Linked DNA regions of Caenorhabditis elegans. The protein of the gene in region 2 interacts with the protein of the main gene of each other region in a pairwise test. Each region holds a gene or a part of one and is shown on either strand. Other genes may lie near its edges. The genes, in order: chk-1 and vha-20.

What was found.
Region 1: the proteins of vha-20 (region 2) and chk-1 interact in a two-hybrid assay, tested with the Caenorhabditis elegans proteins (one large-scale study listed by BioGRID).

What each region holds. Positions count from the first base shown.
Region 1 is NC_003283.11:3,753,403-3,766,306, forward strand, and holds chk-1 (Serine/threonine-protein kinase chk-1), read right to left. Parts: upstream 6,068-12,904; 5' UTR 6,062-6,067; coding exon 5,578-6,061; intron 5,513-5,577; coding exon 5,299-5,512; intron 5,102-5,298; coding exon 4,868-5,101; intron 4,700-4,867; coding exon 4,537-4,699; intron 4,333-4,536; coding exon 3,916-4,332; 3' UTR 3,751-3,915; downstream 1-3,750. Other genes in the region: gid-7 (CTLH domain-containing protein), read right to left, coding at 1-277, 835-935, 989-1,119, 1,354-1,564, 1,939-2,069, 2,314-2,394; oac-55 (Nose resistant-to-fluoxetine protein N-terminal domain-containing protein), read left to right, coding at 7,737-7,883, 8,137-8,338, 9,171-9,306, 9,357-9,490, 9,541-9,634, 9,691-9,868, 10,802-10,895, 10,943-11,313 and 5 more. UniProt on the Caenorhabditis elegans protein: Serine/threonine-protein kinase which is required for checkpoint-mediated cell cycle arrest and activation of DNA repair in response to the presence of DNA damage or unreplicated DNA.
Region 2 is NC_003284.9:14,158,210-14,171,113, forward strand, and holds vha-20 (Renin receptor-like C-terminal transmembrane spanning segment domain-containing protein), read right to left. Parts: upstream 6,298-12,904; 5' UTR 6,297-6,297; coding exon 6,122-6,296; intron 6,065-6,121; coding exon 5,701-6,064; intron 5,648-5,700; coding exon 5,308-5,647; intron 5,236-5,307; coding exon 5,140-5,235; 3' UTR 4,890-5,139; downstream 1-4,889. Other genes in the region: lgc-25 (Acetylcholine receptor-like protein cup-4), read right to left, coding at 661-1,021, 1,168-1,357, 1,410-1,563, 1,699-1,865, 2,009-2,153, 2,204-2,345, 2,778-2,929, 3,186-3,355 and 1 more; sym-4 (WD repeat-containing protein 44), read right to left, coding at 6,846-6,968, 7,146-7,562, 7,701-7,802, 7,955-8,771, 8,818-8,955, 9,012-9,514, 9,571-10,110, 10,533-10,748 and 2 more.

The DNA.
Region 1 (12,904 bases), on a different chromosome or scaffold from region 2:
TGCTGACAAAACTCCATATAGGCAATATCTCCCTCGTTGATCGGCGCCATTTCGCCGATTCGAGTGAGCTTCGATTTTGCACACTTCCAGAGGGTGATCGAGTTGCTCTTTCCACCGCTCGCCATCATTTTTCCGTTTCGCGAGAATTTCACGCAGAAAATCTCGAATTTATGGTGATCCCATAGCTGAGTTTGTCGCCACGGGATCGTCTTTACACTATTCGAAGGCTCGTCGCGTAGAAGCTTCGGCGCTTTTTCGTCGGCAGCTGCGCCGTGGACTGGAATATTATATATTTTAAATGCAGGTTTTAGTTTTTTACTGTGTGTACATCAGGGGTGGGCGGCAAACAACGGCAAACCGACAAAACGGCAATTTGACAAAGATCAAAATTTCCGCCAAATCGGCAAATAGCCGGAAATCAAAATTTCCGGCAAATCGGAAAATCGGCAAATCGCCGAAAATCAAAATTTCCGGTAAATCGGCAAACCAGCAATTTACCGATTTGCCGAATTTACAAAATTTGCCGAACGGCAATTGCAGCCCACCCCTGATGTACAATTAAGAGATCACAAAATTCGGAGAATGCGTTTTGCACAACATATTTGACGCGCAAAATATCTCGTAGCGAAAACTACAGTAATTCTTACTGTAGCGCTTGTGTCAATTTACGGGCTCGATTCTCGAAACTGATTAAGGCCCGTAAATCGACACCAGTGCGCTACAGTAGTCATTTAAAGAATTACTGTAGTTTTCGCTACGAGATATTTTGCGCGTCAAATGTGTTGTGCAATACGCAGAGCTCTCAGAATTTTGTGTCCTCAAAAAATCAATTACCTTTATTCAAAATAGTCTTCAATCGATTTTGCGGCAAAATAAAGTCGGATGGAAGAATTTCCTCGAGAAACGCCAACTGGGACTGCCTCTCGGCAACTTGGCTGAAAATTTTCCAATTATTTAGAAAATCGAGTTTTAAAATAAAAATTCTCACTCAATATTCTGATATCGGCAATTTCCGAGCAGGACGTCTTTGAAAAAAGTGTCAAAATAATCAAAATGCTCGGAATGATCAAGTATGACGCCTCGTATCATTTTCTGCATTGTGAACAGAGCGTCAAAGTACTGAAATTGAAAATATTTTGGACACACGATGCACCATGTCACGTGGTGTCAAAGTCCCTCAATTCGGCTTGATCTACGTAGATCTACAAAAAATGCGGGAAAAGAGACGCAGAGTTTTCAACTGATTCCGCATGGTTAAGAACGTGCTGACGCCACATTTTTTGGGCAGAAAATTCCCGCATTTTTTGTAGATCAAACCGTACTCTGACACCATGTGCCAAGTCTAGCACGAACCCTTCCTTTCCGAACTAGGTCAGCTAGTTTGAAGCATTTAACAATATATGATCCATGCTTTGCGGTCTCCTCAGTAATGTGATCATTTGAAGTTTCGAGAATTTGAATCGCCGCGTCGTAGTTTCCTTTGAGAATGTTCGCACGGACTCTGGCACCCGACGTTGTTTCAATTGTGAAGCCCGTCTCTTCAACGAGAGTTTCAACAGAGCTTCTGAAAAAATGGGTCAAAAATACGGTAGCCGGTCTCGACACGACATTTTTTGTTTATTGAAAAAAGACATGCGCCTTAAAATTTCGTAATTTCAAAATTCCAAAATTCCACGTGGTGCGAGGCTGTCCCGTTACGGTTTGGTCTACAAAAAATGCGGGATTTTTTGCCCAAAAAAATGTGATGTCAGCACGGTATTAATCATGCGAAATCAGTTGAGAACTCTGCGTCAAGCCGAAATGAGACACTCTGACACCACGTGTGCTTTTTTTACAAAAAACTCTGAAAAATCGATAAAGAAACTTTAAAGGCGCACACCCGTTTTCATTCAACATAAAAAATGTCGTGCCGAGACCCGAAACTGGTCAAAAACTTACGTCAAGCCGATATTATCCAAAAATTGTGCAATAATTCGAATTGTTGCTTTATCATATTTTCCCAACGCGATTTCCTTTCGAATCACCGACTCGGTTTCTTCGGGATCATCTTGAGATCTGGGGGATAGTTGCTGGAAAAAGTGAATTTTTTTGTTGCATTTCAATCGCGGAACATGATGTCAAAAAGTATCATTTCGGCTTGATCTACGTAGATCTACAAAAAATGCGGGAGTTGAGACGCATATTTCTCAACTGATTTCGCATGGTTAAGAACGTGCTGACGTCACATTTTTTGGGGCAAAAAATTCCCGCATTTTTTGTAGATCAAACCATAACGGGACAACCTGACACCACGTGTCGCTGTGAGACCCTTACCGCATGATTCTGCAATCTTTGTGCTACAGACATCTTCTTACCCTTACGACCAACATCGTCAAGTTGCTCGTCGACAGTCATTCTGGAATTTTTTTTTGAAATTTTTGCCAATTTTCGCGCGCCAAGAATACGGTAGCTGGTCTCGACGCGACAATGTTTTGTTTATTGTCAAAAGGTATGCGCCTTTAAAGAGTACTGTAGTCTAAAACTTTAGGTGCCGCGGAATTTTCGATTTGCAAAAATTGATATGTTTGCAATCGTAAAAACTACAAAAAATCGATTGAAATTGAAGGTTTTGTTATCGTAATTTCGCTAGAAGTCGACATGTCCGCTTAAAGGCACCCAGATTTATTCAGATGGGTCTCGGCGCGAAAAGAGTTTTTTAAAAGTTTTTTTTTTTGCGTTTATCAATGAAATTTCTTGGTTTTTAGCGAGTTTTGTCGTTTTTTTTTTAAATTTTCGTAAAATGTTTAGACAAATTTCATAAGTGCTTTTCCTGCTTGTCGGCTTTAACAGAAAAATGAAAGAAAACGCAAAAACTCCAAAAAATTTTTTTTTCGCGCCGAGACCCATCTGAGTGAATCGATGCGCCTTTAAGAATGAATGACAAAATCTTGTGGCATTACAATAAATACAAATGAGTGTGCGCCTTTAAGGAGTACTGTAGCGCTTGTATCGATTTACGGGCCTGAATCAGTTTCGAGAATCGAGCCCGTAAATCGACACACGCGCTACAGTAGTCATATAAAGAATTACTGTAGTTTTCGCTACGAGATATTTTGCGCGTTAAATATGTTGCGCAGTACGCATTCTCAGCATTTTGTGTTCCCGTAATATCGATTTCTCTCAATTGTTCTCATCATTTGTTAAATTTTGGTGTTTAAAAAAAGAATTTAAATACGAAATTTTATCGGAAAACTAAGAAAAATCGATAAGAAAATTCCGTAACCACAGAAGTTTGAAATTACAGTACTCTTTAAAGGCGCACACACACTTTTGCATTAATTTTATAGAAATTTGTCGTGTTGAGACCTGGTACAGTATCGCAAAATCGTCATATTTAGCTTTTTTTAAATTGCAAACCTCTGTCGCTTGGCCGGGACAACGGCTGGCTCGTCAGCCTCTTCTCCGATGGGTTTCCGAACCACTTTGAGTTGTTAAGTGGGAACGACGCGCCACTGATATTTTGAAAACTACAAAAACGAATTCCAGATTTTCCAGTTGAGACCTAATGACAGTAGGGGGTAGAAAAATTCATAAGAATATATTCGTGCGTATTATTTAGTAAGAATTGTCTTGTCTGCTGCAGACACTCTCTCAGCTGACGACTATCGAACGGAGGCGAGGGGCAGCGAGATATTGTGCAAAAGTGAGAGAGGGAAAAGAGAAAGAGGAGGAATGATGAGGCAGTGGGGACAAACTCTAGACGCAGAGATAAAAACAAACATTCATTCACAGGCTTGTAATTCGGCGTTAATTCACGTTAAATTTAAAAATTAATGGGATAGGGAGATGTTTAAAGTGATGATGATGATGATAAATATTGTGCTTTAAATCTCAATAGTCTGATGGAACAAAAAACGAACAAACAAAAAAAAACAATTAGACATCCACATTGATCGAGGACGCCGAGTGCTCCACATTGACTCCACCACCATTAACTATCTGCGGATTTCTTGGCACATATCCAAGATTGGCGAGCCAGTTGTTTCCGTCGGTACATATCCACTCATGCATACGGTTTCTAACGTCCATGAACATCTTCTTAAACTGGATTCCGTCACCGCGAGACCTGCGGAAATCTACCATGACACGTGGCTTGTCGGGAATATCGCCCATCGTGTACAGACTGACCATCATCGAAACCTCGCGCCACGTGACTAGTAGACGGTAGTCGTCAGTCTCACGAACGCCGAAGCCGGCGTGCTCACTGGCTCGAGCCACTTTTTGGTACGTGGAACGGATGTCGGTGACGACGCAGAAACGTGTCATACGGCACACCATTCGTTGGAGGAGATTCTGAAAATTTTAGGGGGATTTAAACTAAATTCTGGGTTTTTTAATCAAAAAAAAAAGTAAATTTAGCAAAAACCTCTAATTTTGCAACCATTTCCGTGTCATTAGCGAATTTTCATCCTAAAATTATCAAAAATGCCAATTTACGACCGAAAAATTGGAGATTTTAGCTAAAAATCCGCCAATTTCTGACGGTTTTTTCCTAACCGAGTTGGTCTGCGACATATCAATATGCTGAGTAAGCAGAAGATCCTCAGTCTTTGTCGGCTGGGAGAACGAAGCATTCTGTCTCTCCGCCAGAGTGCTCTTCTCGTTCGGAGTCTCCAAGTGACGACGTTTCGCGGAGCATTCGGCTTGTTGAGTGCATGTGCTGGAATATATTGAGCATTTTAACATGAAATTGTGATTTTTTTTTAAATTTAAATGGGGTTCTGGCCTTCCTCATTGCATTTTTCGCAACTAAAATCGAGCCGCGACGCGACACGCAACGCGCCGTAAATCTACACCAGATATGGCCGAAGCCATCTATTAAACTCACATATTCTCATCATTGTTGCGAGCGCGTTTCAGTGGCCGCCCGTTCGGTGTCTCGACTTGACCGAAATTGTGCTGATACCACGGATCCGCTTGGATCTGCTCGATTGTCGCGCGCTTGTCCGTCTTGTCGGTGACGATCTTACGAAGCATGCAGAGGGCTCGAACGTCGATCTTCTTCCACGGTCTCTCGTCGAGGCTCGTGTTGCTGATCCATCCCATGTAGGATTGAGAGGCGCTGAAAAAAAACATTCATTTCGTCAAAAATTAGCTAAAATCTCTGATTTTTGGTGTCTCAACGGTCGGAAAATAGTTTTTATTGTTTTTTCTCGTTTATACACATTTTTCGTTGAGAAATTGCCATTTTTAGCCGAAAAATGTGAAATAAACCATCAAAATATGCTAATTTCCGCCAAAAACGCGATGAAAACGCACTCGCTAGCCCGATCCCACGGAAGCTCCCCGGTGAGCATCGCAATGAGCACAATCCCAGACGACCAGACATCGACGGGCGGCCCACGGTACTTCTTTCCGGCGCAGAGCTCTGGAGCAGCGTACGGAATCGTCCCACAGCTCAAATCCAGCAGTCGCTCCTCTCCTTTGTTCCGATAAAGAGTTGCCATGCCGAAATCCGAGATTTTTAAGACATCTGGAAGATTAAATTTGATAATTTAAGCATTTTAAAATTGACAAAAAAAAAAAAAAGATTCTTACGAGTTCCGGTAAGCAGCAAATTTTCCGGCTTAATATCACGATGAACCACATCATTATCGTGAATAAATTTGAGTCCACAGATGAGTTGTTTGAAGTAGAATTGCGCGAAAACCGGCGACATTCCACAATCGGGCTCTATTTTATCGAAAAGCTCTCCGCCGTCCGCATATTCCAGGAAGAGATAGTAAAATTGCGGATCATTTCGCATTCCTATCATTCGAATCACGTTGTCATGGCCGACAGCGGACACACGTTTCTGAAGAAGGTACTCCTTTCGAATGTTGTCTATGAAATCCTTGCTTTTATTGGCGATATTGATTTTTTTCATCGCCGCCGCCACTTCTGGATTCTTGGTGTTGACGATGAGGAGGACTTCGCCGAACGCGCCTTCTCCGAGCGTTTGAACGACTCTGTACAGCGATTCTGGTTGTTGAGGTGCCACTGCTGCTGCTGCTGGCGTAGAAGTCGTGGACGCTGCTGACATTTTCTGCTGAAAAATTGAAAATAAAAAGGATTATTCACCACTGAAACAGGAAAAGTTAAAAAAAATTAAAAGAAACCTTGATTTTTCTGGGTTTTTAGGGTAAAAATTGATAAAAATCGAGAAATATCGTTTTGTTTTACATTTTTTACTGAATAAAACCTGAAATATTTTAGAATTTTGCATCAAGAAAACAAGAAAACCGCAGAAAACGTTGCCGCATTCGAATTTACCGCGCGCAACGACACTCCGAAATCCCGCTCGGAGCCGGAATTTGTGTGGATTTACGGGCAATTTTTTGTCGAAAAAACATGTTTTATATGTTTTTATGTTTTTTAAATAGAATTTTACACTATTGAGATGAATTAAAGGCGAAAAATTATTGAAATGAGGGAAATATGAAAATATAAATAAAATAATATCGACAGAATCATCCGAATCCAAAAAATAGAAAGAACATCAATTTTCTTGTAAATTCCTTGAGCTTTCCGGTGTTTTTTTGGATTTTTCTCTTCAGAAATGACACCGAATTCTCCAGAATTCTCCAGAATTTTACAGTAAAGTTTTTTTTTCTAATTTTCTAGAATTTTTCCAGAACTTCCAGATTTGTCCAGAAGTCTCCAAAAGTTCTACAAAAATTTTTCTGCAGATGATTCCAGAAAGTTCGAAGATTCCAAGATTTTGTTTCTGCTGCAACAAATGGCGTCATCGACTACAAACTACAGAAAAGATACCATTATTTGCAGTTTTGTTGGGCCTACATTTAATGACATTCGGCAACTTTTTTTTGTCGACAAGGTCGACAAATCGGCAAGATGTCGGTTTGCCGATTTGCCGATTTGCCGGAAATTTTCATCATCGGCAAATTGCCGGTTTGCCGATTTGCCGGAAATTTTCAATTCTGGAAATTTGCCGGCTTGCTGATTTGCCGGAAATTTTCAATTCTGGAATATTGCCGGCTTGCCGATTTGCCGGAAATTTTCAATATCGGCAAATTGCCGGATTGCCGATTTGCCCAAACTTTTCATTTTCCGCGGATTGCCGGTTTGCCGGTGTGCCGGAAATTTTCAATTCCGGCCATTTGCCGACTTGCCCGAGATGCCAATTCCGGCAATTTGCCGATTTGCCAGAAACTTAAATTCCGGCAATTTTCCGATTTGCCGATTTGCCGTAAAAACCGTTTTTTCCGGCAAATTCGACATACCCGCAATTTGCCGGTTTATCGATTTGTCGGAAACTTTTAATCCCGACAATTTGCCGATTTGCCGGAAATTTCAATTCCGGCAATTTGCCTGTTTGCCGATTTGCCACAAATTTTCATTTTCTGCAAAATGCCGGTTTGCCTATTTGCCGTTAAAAACCGTTTATCCATCAAATTCGGCAACTCGGCAATTTGCCGGTTTGCAGATTTGCCGGAAATTTGCCGGCTTGCCGGAAATTTTGATTTTCGGCAATTTGCCAATTTGCCGGAAATTCCAATTCCGGCAATTTGCCGGTTTGCCGGTTTGCCGGATTGTCGGAAAAAATCGTTTGCCTTATCTATCGAAAAAACAAGATTTCTGATTTTCAGTGTTGATTCCCATGTTTTTGTGTTATTTTACCATTTCATTGTAACTTTTTAAAATGATAACCGTACGTAATAACACTGATAAGATGAGTTTAGAATATTCAATTCATAATGCACAAAATGTTACGTGCCATTTTTCTAGTCTTCATAATTTTCGCTAATCTACAATGCAGTTCTGGTATCGAATTCGATCCACATAAGGCTATGGAGCTGCTCGGCGAGCTGATCGCTCACCCGATAGAGGTTATGGAGCAGCTGGTGGGTTTCTGGATACTTTGGGTCTCGCAACGATTTGGCACTTTTGTCAAATCAAGAGTGTTCTACGTTTTCCACGTGGTGGTGTCAAAGTGTCCCATTTTGGTTTTATCTTTGAGAAATGCGGAAGAAGAGACACAGACTGTGTGCTGACGTCACACTTTCCTGTGGAAAAATTCCCGCATTTTTTTGGAGATCAAACCGTTATGGGACAGCCTGACACCTTTGGGTCTCGCAACGATCTGACATTTTCCAGGAAAAATACAAAACCAGCGATCTAATCGCTGCCCTCGGTATTCACTCAAATGCGAATTATTCAATTTCTCAAGAATGTCACGAAGAGCTTTCATTTTTGGGTTACGGTGTAATCGATGCGGCACGATATGCCCGGCATCACAGTACGGCGGCGGTCCCAGCATCAATGACCGATCAGGAACGGAAGGATTACCTTATTCCCAGTGAGATATTTTTTTTCAAATGTGGGTCCTGACACGATCCAAATTTTTTACTCTGAATGACAGAAAATAGACCGTAATCACCAAATGTAACAAACGTAAAAAATTTTCGAAGTATTTTCTAAATTTTTTCTGATTTTTTTTCCACTTTTGCCAAATTAAAAGAAATTAGATGTTAGGCTCCGCCCACTCATGTAGCGTCTCAAATTGGAGTACATGGTCTCAAAGTGTCTTATTTTGGCTTGATCTACGTAGATCTACAAAAAATGCGGCAGAGTTATCAACTGATTTCGCATGGTTAAGAACGTGATGACGTCACATTATTTTGGGCAAAAAGTTCTCGCATTTTTTGTAGATCAAATCGTAATGGGACAACATGACGCCACGTAACTGGAGCACAAATAAAATTTGAAAAAAAAACAGTTAAACTTGCCAGAAAACACGTATATATCCAAAAAGTGGGCGGAGCCTAACATCTCATTTAATTTATTTTGGCAAAATTGAAAAATCATTTTAAAAATTTAGAAAAAAGTTTTAAAAGATTAAAAAAATTACAACAGTAACTTTTTTATTAGTTTTCTCAAAAAATAGTATTTTGTTTTGGGCCAAACATTTTTTCCTTAAAAAGCGCCCGAAAATGCTCGGTGTTCAGTAGAGCGCATTTGCACATATATTCTTCGCCAAACCGGCAAATCGGCGAATTGCCGGAATTTAAAATTTCCCGCAATTTCTAAGAAAATGAGAAAACTAGTTGAACATTGTTTAAAAGAGATGTATTATAGCTAAACATTTAAGTTTCAAACGAAATTTTGACTTAAAATTTTCAAATTTCCAGTGATGGACGCTGCCGGTAAACTGGGATCCGGCATCGTTAGAGGCCATATTCTAAGCACCGGCGCTTTTTCGGAATGCAAATCCATTCAGATGTTCTCCTCGAGTTTAAATCGAACTGTCCAGGGAGATTATTACAGGTACCTACATATTTCCTGTTTTTGCAACTTGTGCGGCAAAATCCAACTAGTTCCAGAATCTTATTCGATATGAAAATGCGCCCCAACTCGTTCAATAGCTCGTGTAACCTCCCGCAAATTGGAGTAGATCTCTGCTTACCCTGGTCTTGTCGAAATGAGGATCTTACGGGGTATTTTAGAGAAGGTTCGTAAAAATGGCACAGGCTGTAAAAAAGTAATAGCAAAAGTTTACAGCCCTGGGGCCCAGTAAAGCCTTGTCTCCAGTGTGCAGTGTACGGAATGTTAATCAGAGAGTTCCAGTAATTTCGTTGGGAACATGGATAGTTTTGTAAGTTCAGGAAAAAAATTTATCCAGTTTTAACTTTCATAGAAATTAACTTCCAGACTCATTTTATCATTGATTGTGGGTCTCTGCATTTTATCAGGATTTTCCGATATTTTTCAAAAATTCCAATTGAACGACAAAACGAGGAAGGAGGAGGGTTTTGGTTGGAAGTTATTCAGCGCATTCTCATTTCATCGAAATTTGAAGGAGATTTTCAACACGAAGAATTGTCATAAGGTAGGGTCAGATTTTATGGTGCTACGACAGTGCTGGTCCCATTGATCTACGAGAATTACGGGAATTCAGGCTCTGATTTCTGATTTCGCGTGCTGACGTCTCATTTTTCTGTGCGAAAAATTTCCCAATTTTTTGTAGATCAAACCCCATTATGGTACATTGGTTTATGCACGTGGTGTCGGAGTGTTCCATTTCGGTTTGATCTACTTCCCTCATATTTTGAAATGCAATAATTTGCGGAATTAGGCGATTTTTGCTCGGCCAGGGTCGATTTACGGCGCTTCGCTTATAAAACTAAAAGTACTTGCCAGTGTGGAGTGCAATTGCCGTTCGGCAAATCGGCAATTTGTCGGATTGTCGATTTGCCGGAAATTTCGATTTTAGGCAAGTTGCCGGTTTGCCAATTTGCCGGAAATTTTGATTACTGGCAAATTGCCGATTTGCCGAACATCAATTTGCCGGAAGTTTTTAGAGGAATTTTTTATGAGACGGAACCTCTTCAAACTGTGCCTTTTTAAAATTTTTCCCGTTTTCTTTAGATAATTTCATAGAATTTGCTTACTTTTCAAAATAGATTTAGGATCATTTATAGGATACGCACAATTTTTACGATCAAAAGTTAAATTCTGAAATTTTCAAAAAAAAGTGCAAAAACACAATTCCCAAAAATGTTCTGCAATTGCCGTTTTTCCGACAAATCGGCAAATCAATAATTTGTCGGTTTGCTGACTTGCCGGAAAACTTCATTTCAGGCAATTAGCCGATTTGCCGGAAATGTTCAGTTCTGGCAAATTGCCGATTTGCCTGAAATGTTCAATCCCTGCAATTTGCCGATTTGCTTGAAATGTTCAAATCTGACAATTTGCCGATTTGCCGAAACTTAATGCTATTACGAAGACTAGAACCCGGACACTGCAATTAATAAATTTCCAGGAAGGCCAAGTAACTTCGCTCAATTGCATTCGGGTCATTTCAACATTTTGGGTAATCTTCGGACATTGCTCAGAGATCACTTTCATGGTTATCAGTAAGCCTTCAATTCACCAAAGCTCGAGACTATTGGTAATCTTTCAGCAAACCCCATAGATCTATACGACTTCACCAAGGATACCTATACGGGAACCCTAATCTCAAATGCTTACTTCTCGGTGGACACCTTCTTCTTCATTTCGGCCTTCTTGCTCTCATTTCTCTGGTTCAAACAACTAGAGAAACAGTGGAACGCGCTACTTTCTCCAGGTGGATGGCTGATGTTTTACGTGCACCGAATTGCTCGTCTGAGCCCGGTGTACTATGTCACAATCTTGTTCTTCACATTTGTGTTCACAAGATCCATGGTTGATATGCCAGCGTTCATGACTCCGGCTGTGGTAGATGACACGTGTCAGAATAGCTATTGGGTCAATCTTTTATATATTCAGAATATTGTTGGCCCCAAAGATATCGTGAGTTTTAGGCCATTTTCAGATGTGCATCATAAAAACGTTTCAGTGCTACTTCATATCTTGGTACCTTGCCACCGACCTCCAGATCTACATCATGAGTCCCTTGATTCTTCTAAGCTTTGGACTAGGTGGCGCAGTGGTCGGACTCCTGATTTCAACTGCGGCCTTCTTGGCGTCAACGGCGTTCAATGCGTATCAAATGATTTTTTGGCATTTCCCGCCGTCAGACTACAACTATGGACCCAAGGATCCGTTGTATGACCCGAGTAAAAGGTTTGATTAGTAAAAAACTCCGCTCCCCTACCCTCCAATACGGGCACCAATTACCATTCGGCAAATTTTTTTGTCGATAAATTTGGCAAATTGGCAAACTGCCGGTTTGACAGTTTGCGGGAAATTTTCAATTCCGACAACTTGCCGATTTGCCGATTTGTCAGAAATTTTCATTTTCGGCAAATTGTCGGTTTGCAGATTTGCCGGAAAAATTCAATTCCGGCAATTTACCGATTTGCCGGAAACATTCAATTCTGACAATTTGCCGATTTGCCAGAAATTTTCAATTCCGGCAACTTGCCGATTTGCCGGAAAAAATCATTTGCCGCCCCTGATATGGATACAGTATCAGAAATTTTCAGGCGGTATGCAGCGTGGAACTACCATAACCCGCTGATCCGGTGTCAGATTTATATAATGGGGATGGTACTGGGATATTTCATGCGGCGAATTCCAAAAATCAACATAAACCCTGTAAGTTTTCATTCAGCCCGCCATCAGGATGAAATTTATGTTCAGTGGGTCGATCGAATAATGTGGTGCTTATCCTTAGGATCCATGATTTTCGTTATTGTAATTATGGAAGACTATACATCTGGCCACCTCTGGTCCCCACTCCAAACGGCTTTGTACAGGTACCTTTTATTACGGTTTGATCTACAAAAAATGTGGGAATTTTTTGCTCAAAAAATGTGACGTCAGCACGTTCTTAACCATGCGAAATCAGTTGAGAATTCTGCGTCTCTTTTCCCGCATTTTTTGTAGATCTACGTAGATCAAGCCTCAATGAGACACTCTGGCACCACGTGTTAATGCACCTTCCCCTCACCTCCCCCTACTTTTCCAGCTGCTTCAGCCGAGTTGTCTGGGGACTCGCGTTGTCCTGGATTGTGATCTCCACCTATTACCGCAAGGGATTAATCAATAAATTCATGAGCCTCCCGGTGTGGACACCACTGGCTCGGCTATCATTTTGTGCTTACCTAGTTCATCTGATGGTCGCTGCCTACTTTTTCGGACGAAATCATTCGGAACTTTATTTTTCGACTCTACCGTACTTTGTAAGTTCCCAGTTGGTTCAATTTAAAGTAAATTTCAAATCGAAAAATTGCAGGTATTAGTAATTGCAATTCCTGTCATCTCGTGCTCATTCCTTGTCGCAATATTTTGGTCGACAATGTTCGAACTTCCGTTTGCCAAGGTTGAAGCATTGCTTCTTGGTGGTGGAAGTCGATCATCGGCACCGGATATCCCAAAAACGCCGATTGATTTTCCAGAAAATAACTTTGAGAAAAACGTAGAAAGCATCAGATTCTAA
Region 2 (12,904 bases):
TTCCTTGTTAGTGAGCAACGTCAACAATGACAATTAACTCATGTGACTTGCTGAAGTATAGCTGCATATCAGTTTGATAATAATCAGAATGTTGAATAATAGTTGAGTTTTCGTACTAGCTTTTATTTAAAGTTAGTATGAAAAATTGTTGAGAGCTGGTCTAATTTCTTTGATCTCACCCTTGCAATTGTACTACTGATTACATTTCGTTTGTCCAAAATCAAAGGTTGGGAGCATTCAACAAAAATACTTGTTCGGAAATTCTGGTGTCGGGCTGTCTCATTACGGTTTGATCTACAAAAAAATGTGTGAATTTTTTTTTCAAAAAAAAAAAAAAGTGACGTCAGCACGCTCTTAACCATGCAAAATTAGTTGAGAATTCTGCGTCTTTTCTCTCGTTTTTTTTTGAAGATCTACGTAGATCAAACCAAAATGGCACACTCTGACACTACGTTAGATCCTTTATTCAAATCAAGGTGAAAACTGTTCATAACTAAACGAATGATTGGGAATACAAGCTACTTTGATCTGCCAATTTCAAATATTGTAAAAAAGCCCAAATAAAACAAGTGGAAAATCAAAACCAACACCAACTTTATTGAAAGAAAAACCTCAGGCGTGAAACACGGAAATTATAGTTGAGAAGAAGACGCCCTAAACTTAGGTGAACAGAACTAGAAGAAATGCAATAATATGAATGAAAATAACTAAACAGAAAACATAACGCTTGATGTGCCGAAGTTGAACATCCAATATTCTCTCTTCTTCTGGTTCCTCAGAAATTTGAGTTTCTTCATTAGACGATGGCTCCGAGGAGAGTAGTTCAGATGTTGATGCAGAAAATGATTGTGGTTCAGATGTCATCGGGATGTCAATAAGAACACTCGAATCAGATGATTTTTGGAAAGAGGTAATGTCTTCGTGAAGAGGGTTACCAATACCAACAGAAGTGCTCGATGAGCCACCACCTTGCTCCAGAATTTCTTCCAATGTGCGGGTACTGTATACATTGCTGAACAGCCTGTAAAATTGTTATTGAAATATTGACAACGATTTTTAATATGTTTTTGGGTTAATCGGTTAATAGGTTAATCAATTTTTTGATAGAATTAAAATAACTCCAACTGCTAAAAAATGTTTTATTGTGGATCAAAATTCTCAACTTACTCCTGTGGATCAAACGATAATCCTTTCTGCGTGAATAACTTGTCAACTCCAAACCTTTGAGGAACTCCAATTATATCGAAACCTAGATCAAGCTCGAATTTCTTGGGCAACCTAAGTCTCAAAAACTCCGAGAACACAATAAGTACGAATTGAACAGCGCTCAGCAGAAGATTCATGTTGTAGAGGTGAACTGAATAAAAATATGTTAAACTTTTTCTGATGATTGTCAATAAGATGCATACCAATTTTTGGAGTTCGCCCACTTCCCGGTGGCATCTTCGCAAGCAAACTACTGCCGTAATAACTTTGCAATATGATGTTGAGCATAATCGTGAAAAAACAGATACTATGCGTTTCAATCCAGAAACATAAAAGAAGAATCAGCGATGTGCCTGCCTGAAAAATAATCATGTTGCTATGCCCGATTGTGTTTTCAAAATTCATTTTCTTACAAAAAAAAGTGTGGTTTTTTTTTGTTGATATTGTAAAGGTATTTTTCAGCTGCTAAAAAATAGTTTTTAAACATCTCACCATTGGAAACAAAATACTGAGACTGAAGTACGGAAGATGACGTCTGAGAATAATGCCAAACTCCAATAGTGACCAGTACCATTCTGCTTCACCTTCTGGTTGCTCTTCCTTGCATCCTTTTGGGCCCCAATAGCAATGTTTTTTCCATGCATCCATGACTTCCCACCCTGGAAGTAAAAATCGCATGCTTGAGGATTTAGGAAAAAGTTTAAAAAATGATCACTGAAGCAAAAGACGCAAAAGCGCATAGTTACCGTATTTGAGTTAATAGTTCATTGTAACACCTAATTTTCAAAGAGCAACAACTTGCCTGCAACATGTCGTTTGTCACTCTTCTCAATAGGGTCGTAGCTCAGTCGAATTGACGGTTTGCCATATTCTTTAAGAATATATGGATCGCTCAAATTGACTTGATTCAAATTGTATACCCAATCGGCAATTACAATCGGGCATGACTGAAATTACGTGTTTTTTTAGCATACCAAAACACGTGTCTTGGAGCTACCTGCTGATCAAAAGGCCAATTGGTAAAGTCGAATTGACAAGTGACGTAGAAGGAGAATGTTCCAGTGCTCCACACTTTTCCCGTGCTATAAACAGTTGCCGGCATTGCGCCCATGTATAAGTGCCAGCTGTTTCCACGAGCGCTAAAGTGAAAAAACAGTAGTATTACGAAAAACATTAAAAAATGGCGATTACACAGTTTTTGTCACGCCATATTTTGGAAGTCGCCAAAGCCCATATTTTTTCGGAAACTTATGGGGAAAATACAAAAATCGGGACACCAACCAATATCAACCGCCGACATCTTATGGACTCCGCGCCCCACTATATTTTCCTCGCGGCGGGCGGGACAGCTTGCCACGTACACAGCGAGTGAAACGTAGTGTTGCGCGGAACTTCGTTTATGTCGGCGGCTGATATTGGTTGGGGTCCCGATTTTTGTCTTTTATGTCTTCCCCGTGATTTTCCAAAAAAAAGCGTGCCTTTTTCAGCGTAAACGCCACGCAGTATATCCAATATTGAAACTATTCATTTTTCAAGACATATGTAAATTTGAATACTTAGAATTCACGTACCTGTTATACAACGCCAGAGCAGGTTGCCACAGTGAGTGAGCACTGATGGTGAGTTTTGTGACATTTTCTTTTTTGGCATCCCATTGCATATACTCATCAATCCAAGTTGCCCAGATATGGCCGTGGACAAGAGCTGTCTGTTCATGTTCGTCCTGCAATTAAATTGAAATTAAATGTATTAGGCATACCATGCTGACAAAAAACTTTTGCTTTTCCATAGAGTGTTTCTAGGATAATCTAAATTTTGGTTCAACTTTTCTTTATGGTGATAGTTTTGGAGCTTTAAAATAATGAATTTTTGTTATTAAATACGCTGTTTTTTTTTGTTCTAAATGTTATTAGCTCAACAGTTTGTAATATTCTACATTAGCCATTAAGCTGATTAAAATCTGTATGTACATTACTTACCACTTTCTCCACATGAGCAATGCTCAGAAACACGTTGACTTGGGTCACAGTTGCCTCAGATTTTACAGGTCGGACTTTGTAATTGTACTTCACCATGAGCTGTTTCTCCAGCTGTTGCTCTTTTGAAAGACCACACACTTGATTATCCAGGTGCCAGATTACCAGAATCCCTTGAAACCGAATTGTTACTTGATTATCGATAGAAAAATACCTACCAATTAATAACAACTGCGTTAGAGTCATTGCTACTTTGATGAGTTTGAATATCGGATGTGAATAAATCAAAATGGAAACGGGCAAGAAGTTGAAATAAACAAATCAGATTGTATAAACGATTTTTGATATCGTTTTCATAGTGAAGGAGGAGTCTGCTATTTGATATGCATAGCGCGTTGTTTATATGAAATGTGATATAGACTCATAAGTTTTTTTTTGGAATATTGCGGAATGAAGATACGAATATGTAGTTGGATGATAACCGAAAATGGAAGAGAAGATTGATTTAATGCATGACTCAAGTGTGTTTTTTGCTCAATTAAATTTTACTTTATCATATTAGTAAGAATATGTAAGAAAAGATATAGTTTTAAAGTATAACAAAAATTAAATATATTTGAAAACAAAAAAGTATCTCCCCGGCCGGGAATTGAACCCGGGTCTCGCATGTGACAGACGCGGATACTCACCACTATACTACCGAGGAACTGAACGATCATTTTAAAAGTTTATTGTAGAAAAACGTATTAAAAATCGAGGAAATCGATAATAAATAATGATAAGAATGATTACTATCAGCTATTGTAGCTCTGAAGCCCAATGTGCAGTCATGTCCGAGTGGTTAAGGAGATTGACTAGAAATCAATTGGGCTTTGCCCGCGTAGGTTCGAATCCTGCTGACTGCGGAATCATTTTTTTTCAAATTTCATGAACATAATTTCTTTTTAAAAATCTCGTGAAAACTTTGATATATATATATTTTCAAATAGAAAACATTAGAAAAATTTTGCTATCCGCGTATGATATGTTTGATATAAAATTAGTATACCTTTTTTATCATTTCGAACATATGTATCTTTGTGTATGTTCATCTGCATCTTACTTCAATTGATGCCCGAGAACCCTCTTCCCCCCCCCCCCCCCCCCTCTTTTTTGCCCTGTAGATATGTAGAAAGGTCCAGTTACTGCTGACTCTGCCTGAGGAGGAGAAATACAACAAGGATTGTCACACGGAAAACAAGAAGAACACATTACATAGATTACATTTAGAATGTGTTATTTTTACATAGTACATATCGTTGAAATTGGAAAATCAGCATATCAAACGCTGATCTCAAAAGATTGGAATGTTTAAACCGGTCAATAGATCAATAGTGAATATTCAAAGTTTGATGCAACTTTGGTTTTCTTTCCCACTTTCAAATTCAGATTGACAATTGGGTATACAAATATAATGGCCACACCGTTGTTTGTTTTTCCACTGAGAGAGTTTTGATCAATTAACCAGACTTTATGTTGTGCCAAATATTAAGTATGCTTGCGGAAACTCTAGCAATTTTGGTTTTTTTTTTTGGCAAATTATACTTTAGAGAGTCCAAATTGAAAAGTATGTATTTTGCATTCCTTAGACGGTTATCAAGTTTTTATGAAACCATCCCAATGTTACTTCTGAAGCTGTATAAATTTTTCACTGTAGAAGAATGTTCTGCGATAAGATACATTTATTAGTACTAATCTGTGAAGTAGATAAACCAACAGGATGGGAAAAAATAGTCAAATAAACAAAAAAGTCATCAAAATTTTAGAAAAGAATACAATCAATTACTGGAAAAATTGGAAAATGGAATGTCTCGAACGGTAATCAGAAATTAAGAATTTGAAAATAATATCGAAAATAGTATTTTCAACAGTGAAACATGGTGAGCATAGTGCTCATTTGATGAAGATGCTGTAGAATCTAGTCTTTCTTCATTCTTGTGGTGGTCATACGATAGATGATGGAATCCTTCTCTGGGTCGATTGAGGCCATTCCCACAACAATGTAGATGAGAGCCTGAAATTAATGGCATTTTTTGGAGTTAACATCAGTTATATGATGAACATTATTCTGTAATTTTCTACTTACCACAACAAGAATAACAACTAATCCAAGGAAGATAGCAAAGATTGCTGGATAATCAGAGGACACTGGAACAGTCACTTGGAGGTTTTCGCGAGCTAATTGGGTTGGCGTTTTTGATTTTGTGTCTCTCTTCTGAATGTTATGGTTTGGAATTTCGCGAGACTCGGTGCTTTTCTCGGCGGCTCCGGATTCAGCTTCGAATGCAAGAAGCTCGATGACAGCTTGTCCACCGTAAGCATTGTTGATGGATGCAGTGAGAGCCTCAATGGCGGCCTTAACGTCTGCGACAGCTTCTTCCTTTTGGGCAGATTCGGTGATTCCGACAAGTCCGGTGATGGAGACACTACAATAAAAAAATAATGTGAAACAAAGATTCCGGGATCTAACAGAACTTACCGGAAAACATCAGCATTGTTATCCATTTGTACTCCGGCGCTCTTGATGGCAGCGGCAAGTTGATAAACAGCCTCAAGTTCTTTGACAAGTGTGCTTCTCTTGGTCTTGATTACAGTAGCATCAACGGCTTCTTGTTGGGCGGCAAGAGCGAGCATTGATCCGGTAATTCCACCAGCCGAAACTTGCACATTTTCACGGTCGGCTCCAAAGATCAGCGCCATGTCTTGATCGAATCCAACATTCTCAACACCGTCGGATTTGGTTGAGTAGGTTTTTCCTCCCAAGTTCAGGTTGTCAGCTCCAATTACAGTTACGACGGCAAGGGCGCGTGGACGAGAGAACATGTCAACGGAGACCGAAAATCCTGAAAAACGATTCATCTTCTTTGCTTTATATGTAAAGTAACTATATCACTACTCACCATCAACTTGTCTTGCAGAAAGTCCCAGAATGTTCTCATTGAGAGTGGAAATCAGTGTGGTCTTCAAGGTTGCGTCAGCATCCGGGAACTTAAGGGAAGCCGGAGCTGCGATAATTTCCAGAGAAGATGCGGCACACGCGGCGACCAGAGCGGAGACGAGAAGAACAAACTTCATCCTGAAATTGATTGATTGAGAAAAACAATTAAAGGCATAACATGAAAATTGTTTTTAAAAAATATAATAAAATATATATCAGACTGTGATTTGACAACAGATAAAATAATTTAAAAATAGGGGAATAGTTTTAAAATGCAAATCGAAAAATTTATTACTCATAGAAAACATTTGGAACTGTATGGGTTACCAACTGCAGAAATTATCCCAGAAGAAAAGAAATTCATATCCCGTTTAGGACGAAAGGTTTACACATCACATAGGTTATTCCTAGAGAAAAGCAAAGCTGCGCGAGCAAAAAAACAAAAGACATCATCATAGAATTTGGAGACCAATAGGGCTAAAAAGAGTAGAGTGGGATGAAAATTCAAAGATTCAAAAATTCAAAAATTAACTATTGACATCGTGCGGTTTGATTAAAAAAAAACAAAAATCTAGTGGAATTTGCTAATAAAGCTCACTCGGGGTCGGTTTGACGCCGTTGGTAGTAAAACGGAGGAAAGTTATAAATTTTCAAAGAAAAATGATTAATATCTGTTATTAAGAAAACTAGGTAAGCAGAGTGGAGGATCGAGAACGTGAATTCTTTGGGTCCAGTGGATTTGCCTTGACCAGACGCGGACGGTTTATCATCACTTTGATCACTCCATTCAAATCAGCGCTGATAATTACCTGAAACAAAAATTGATTTTTTGATTACTAATAACTACTGCAAAGCGTAAAAAAATTATCTTTCTGGAAAGAATTCCTTCGGTGGTTTTCTGCACTCATGATTTATGTACCAAAACGCTTCTAGACCAATTTAAAAGTCAATAATTCATCAAAGGTCTCTTAACTACAAGCACTTACATGTCCTGGAATCGACAAATTGCCATTGGATGTTAGCGAATCCGATTGTCCCGGCAACACTTGCCCGCTGATATTAAAATCAATCGAGTCAGATTTGGAGTGCTTATCCCGCTTGTTAAGCATGTTGAAGAACACTTGAGGTCTTGGCGCGAACACGGCCACAGGCACAGGCGCGTTGTGTGTTCGCACCCGTTCCCACCACGAATTGCGATCCTTCCGGACTGATAAGGCGACGGTGGTGTCGCTGGCACGCCAAATGTAGACAAACTTGTCTTCTGAGCCGCAGATGATGTGCCGGCCGTCTGGTGAGAAGGCAGCACGGATCTGAGAGTGGTCGTTTTGCACCCCTTTGAACTTGCATGTGAGAGCCTTGTCTCGAATGTCATACATTCGAATTCGCGAATCATTGGATGTCACCTGAAAGTCATTTTAATTTTGCAACAAAATTCTTATCAAATTCTGTTATACATGCATAATCATTCAATTTTTGAATTTTCCACTTTGGGACTATTCTTGTTATAGTTCCCTATTGACCGATTCTTGAATTTAACTTACCAAAAGTTTGTCTCCATGAGAAGTCAATCCGGTGACTTTATGACCACGGGCATTTTTACCCCTTGTTGACCGTACATCCACAGCAGTGTGATATTTCAGTTGCTGAAAATTAATAAGGAATAAGTCATTTGCGCAGCGACAGCAATGCCAAAAATCGATAACCACCAGTCTGCGACCGATGATCACAAATTGGTTCTTATTTCTGCGTCCAAAGAATTTCAACTAAAAAAAAACACTATTTTTGCAAAACTCACATCAGAAGTATAAAAGATGCATTTTCCGTCATAGGTTCCTACAACCGCAAACTTTCCACTCTTCACAAATGTCATCGCAGTGATGTATTTCTTTTCAGTGTCATTCCAGACGGCAACTTTCTTATCGGGAATATGCCACATCCGCAATTTTCCATCCAATGATCCTGACAAAAAGTAACGATCGTCTTTTGGTAGAAAAGCAACACAGGTGACAAAGTCAATGTGCTGGAAGCAGCAAAGGCATTCATTGCGTGACAAATGCCACAATTTGACTGTCCTATCCATTCCAGATGATAGTATAAAGTAATTCTTGGACCAAGACACGTCGAGAATATCCGCAGTATGACCCTTCAATAGTGCAAATGGTTTTGCACAAAATAATCCATTGTTATCATCAGAAGCAGTAGTTGCTTCACTATTGACTACACTTTCCATAGAGCTTGGCGGTCTAAAGTGTTCCATATTATCTACTGAATTCATTGGATCTGCTTCAGGGTTTGCGTTGGCCGCATACTTTTCACGCATGTCTGAGAAATATTGCAGGTGTGATCTGACAACCCAAACGCGAAGAATAGAATCTTGTCCAGCTGTTGCCATCAGTTTTCCGCAAATGCTAAACTTGATGCACCATATGGCTCCGGTATGCTCGTTGTTCAGCTCCTGCTCGACTGTCAAATGCTCAAAGTCGTATGGGCCTTTCTTGCTTTTTCGTGGTCTGACGATGTTACTAGGGGCAACAGATGGATGATGTGGCTCGTCGCTCTCTTCTCCGTCGCTTGTTTCTTCGCCAATCCCATGACGATTCAGACTGCTCGAGCTGGAAACATGCGAATTGAATATTTTTAAAATGTGATAAAACTAACCCTGGATGAGCTGCGATACGCACACGCTTGAAAGCCCCTCTGAGCATCCCACTTGCATATCTCACTGAGTTCCGAGCAAATGATGCAGCACTTTCGATTCCGGTACGAGACAATGTCCGGTTCGAGGTAGTTTCATCTCTAAAATAATATTTATGCACGTTTAAGCATTTTTTTTTAAATAAGTGCCAACTTACAAGGATCCAATGCTATGCCTATCAGACTCGTGCTGACCACTTCTCTTCATACTCAAACGTCGTTCCACATCAAGGGTAATTGGGTCAACAGACGAGGAGAGCTTATCCGATTTGTTGGTTCTCAACTCATCGTTTGACAAGCTTCGCGAATTGCGATTGGTTACTGTTTTAGCCGGACTCAAACTATTCACTGACTCCAATGCCCCAAATGATTTGGACGATGATGGCGCTTCTTCTGGTATTGGATCGGGGATTCTGATTGCAATTTGTTTACATTCCGCTTCTGAAGCTGAAGATGGCGAAGATGCAGTAGAATTGGATGCCGACGGTATAGTCTCTAAGCTCATTGTGTCAACATTCTGACAGTCACTGAGATTATGTGCTGTTTCTACATCAGTTGTGATTTGACGAATTACTTCTTCGGCGACAACGTTGCGCTCCTCTTCTTCTCCGGTTGCTTCACGGCCTCCAAGAGCAAGCGCGTTAGGTGGGAATGGACCAGTCTGAAATTATTCGTTTATAAGATAACGTATTTCTTTGAAAATATTTATAGGTTTACCTTCATTGCCTTTGCAATTGTCAATCCTCTATCAATCGAGTTTGACTTCCTATGTCCGTTCACTTCTTTAACATCCGGCGTCGTTGAAGCCATCAGTGCATCCGAGCTCTTAGAGGAACCAACTGAAATCTCCCGCTGTATTAGATTTTTCTTTCGTTCCTCTTCTATCCGGTTTTCCACCTCAAATGCAATCGGATCTGGAAGCTTCATTGATGGTGTTCGGGGTGGCAGAGGTGGTGGACATCGTGGCATTGGTGCTACCGGAGGATGGGTTAAGGGAGATTGGACTGGAGACATTACTGGAGCTCTTGATGGAATTGGTGGTGGTACTCTTGTGCTAGGCGAGATGCCCGAGCATGAGCTATCCGTGGGAGTCCATGTGGAAGATCGATGACGGGATTCATCTATAGGTATATTCACTTTCATCGGCGTAATTGTTGCATTTGCTGATGTGTTACTCTGGCTTATTAAAGAGTTCTCGAATCCCATTTCAGAACGTGGCGCTGCACAAGAGCTTAGTGTATCCGTCGCGTTTACTATCTGAAATTTGATAAATAGTAAAAATAAACCCTGGCGGGAAAATGCGAAATTTGAAATTTCATAGAAGGTTGCACTATTTTAGGCCTATAGACAATAATTTAAAAATGATATGCACTGTGTACATTTGCGTGTCTGTGTCAATTGCTAATGTGCGTAGTAAATGACGACAAAAGACGGTCTCTAAAATGGTGGAAATGATTTCAAAACTTCAAACACTGAAAACTTCGGAATGGTAAACGCTAATTATTCACAACAAATGTTTCAAAAATCAAATTTGTAGTAAAAGGAACAGAGAATAAAAACGCTCATTTTAAACAAAAAATGATATTTCAACCATAAACATTCCCTTGATTTTATGCAGTTTGCTCCTCCATAAACATCCGGGCAAACTTTAAAAAAAATGCAATTCTCGCCTGACTCACCACGGTCTCGTTTTTCACAATCATTTTATGATGCCAAGAATGAAGACTAGGAGCGTCAGAAACTGTGCTCATTGTTTCATCATGCTCATAGTCAGTTTGCGCGGTGGGTCCAACAAGTTGTCGGTTGCCAAATTCCTTGTTCATCCGGTGCCGGAGGGAGATAAGTCTATCGCGGTGAGAAGAGTCACGAATTGATGAAGTTGATGTGGCGGGAAACTGAAAAAAACATTTAGAGTTAATTAATACATAGTTTCATTCAAATTTTGTTCATATTTCACCATACTAACAACAAACGTTGTGATACTAAGACAATATACCTTCAAAAAGCAAGAGTGGTTATATGTGTACATACGTTTAGTTTTTGGCAAGAAATGTTTTATTTTTAACGACATAGACTTGTCACCAAGAATTTTTGAAAAAGCTTTAGAGCTATTTTAAGCGTTTGTCGATTTGATTCTATTAAAACTTCATGAGCCTTACCCCTGACGACGACAAGGAAGGTGTATTGAAGACTGCACTCATTGGACGAGATGACGACGAGAATGGAGTTGACGAGGTGACAGGCTGCTCAGATCGGCGCATTGCCAACCTGGTAGCGGAGGGAGCAGCAAAATTGAGCACTTCTGGACGATGTGGTGTAGAGGTGTACTGGTTCTGAAGATTTATGATTTTTAATACTGGTAACAGTTTCAATATCATATCTGAGCAATAATCGTATTTTAAAAAAGTACAACAGAATTTTGAAAAACTCACTTGAGGTCTTCCAAATATATGCCCACTGGAACTGGGTTCTTCTCCATTTTTGAACTCGTCTCCTTCATTTTCAATTGGCGATGTTCGGATCTGTCGTCGCATTATTTGACATCGTCAATAGTTGACTGGAATAAAACCACTGCATTTTTTAAGAGTAATGGTTATTGGAGAGGCGAGAAATGTGATATGATATGAAACTGTGTATGGAGGTGAAAGAGAAGGAGAAAGAATCAATGAACAGTCGAAAAACTAAAACCAAAGACCGATAAATGTTCTCGTCGTTGTGAAACAGAGGGGGAGTTGAAGAGGGACTAGAGGGAGAAAAGGGAATACACTCCTCGTTGCGCACACTGCCTCCTCGGTGAAAACATACACACATGGACCGGTGTGCCGGGAGAAGGGAGTGCGATAGAGCGTAATTGCAACTGTGCATATGTCGATTTGCAAGAGAGATGAGTCAATCCGAAGCATGACTTTTATTGCTTAAATAAGGTGAAAATTAGATATAATTTGTTAAAATTATCTCTTTGAACTTATTTCGATCAGCGTTTTCCTGAACATATATAAATGAAGCTTACTGCTTTAAAAAAACATTAAAATTGAACAAAAATCTATTAACGTTCATGGTGTGGACCATAAAAGTTATAAACAAAAGGTTCGTAACTGAGGAAATGATTCTAATCTTCTGACAACTCAATTTTAAAAAGAAAATCATTGAACCTTTTGAAAATTAACTAGAACTAGAACTAGAATCAAAAAAAACCATGCGATAATATTTGCATTTAATGAAAATGTTTAATGCCAAGTAAGCAGAGCTTATACATTTAGCTGGAAAAAACAACAATTTATATCTATATACGTAGATATATACCAATATGGTAATAAAAAGTTTTGTGGTACAACTATCACACAAGTACCGAGTTATCAGATACGTAGATGCTTAATGAAAAAATACAACTAACGGAAAAATGTTTCTGAACTGTTAAGCATCGTGTTTATTTGCATTAAGCTCAATACATACTACAGTAATACATTTTGTTTTGAAAATCACCAATATTTAGGAAAATAGGATTTCATAAGCTCAATTTAGTATTAAAAAAAACTTACTTTTTCATTTCATAAACTTTCCGTTATCCTTTAAGATTTGATTTTTTGTTTTAATTTCAGAAAACAGTAATCCATAACGTCTCATCATGAAAAATATTGATTACTTTAATCTTTTAAAGTAAAATCCGCAAATTTTTGGTTCATCGGAAATTTTTTATTGTTCACATTTTTTTAAATTCAAAATGTTTTGTGAAAATATAGTCGTTCGACATTAAAACTTTTTCTGAAATTCCAGACAAATAAGTAAATTACACATCTGTATATATTCGTCATTTTATCTACTTAAATGATCGTTCAAGATGTACATAAAGCCGACAAGATTTTCTCAGAAAAAAACCATTAAAAAGTTTAAAAGAAGAAAATGACTCATTCCACACAAACATTCGCCTTTGAATTGATCCACTTTCCATGTTTGCATAAAATTGAAAAAAAAATGTAAACGAGAAATGGCGGGTGGGTGGTCTGCCGTAGAAAGTCAGCAATCGCAAAAAAGGAAGAAAAAAAATCGATGG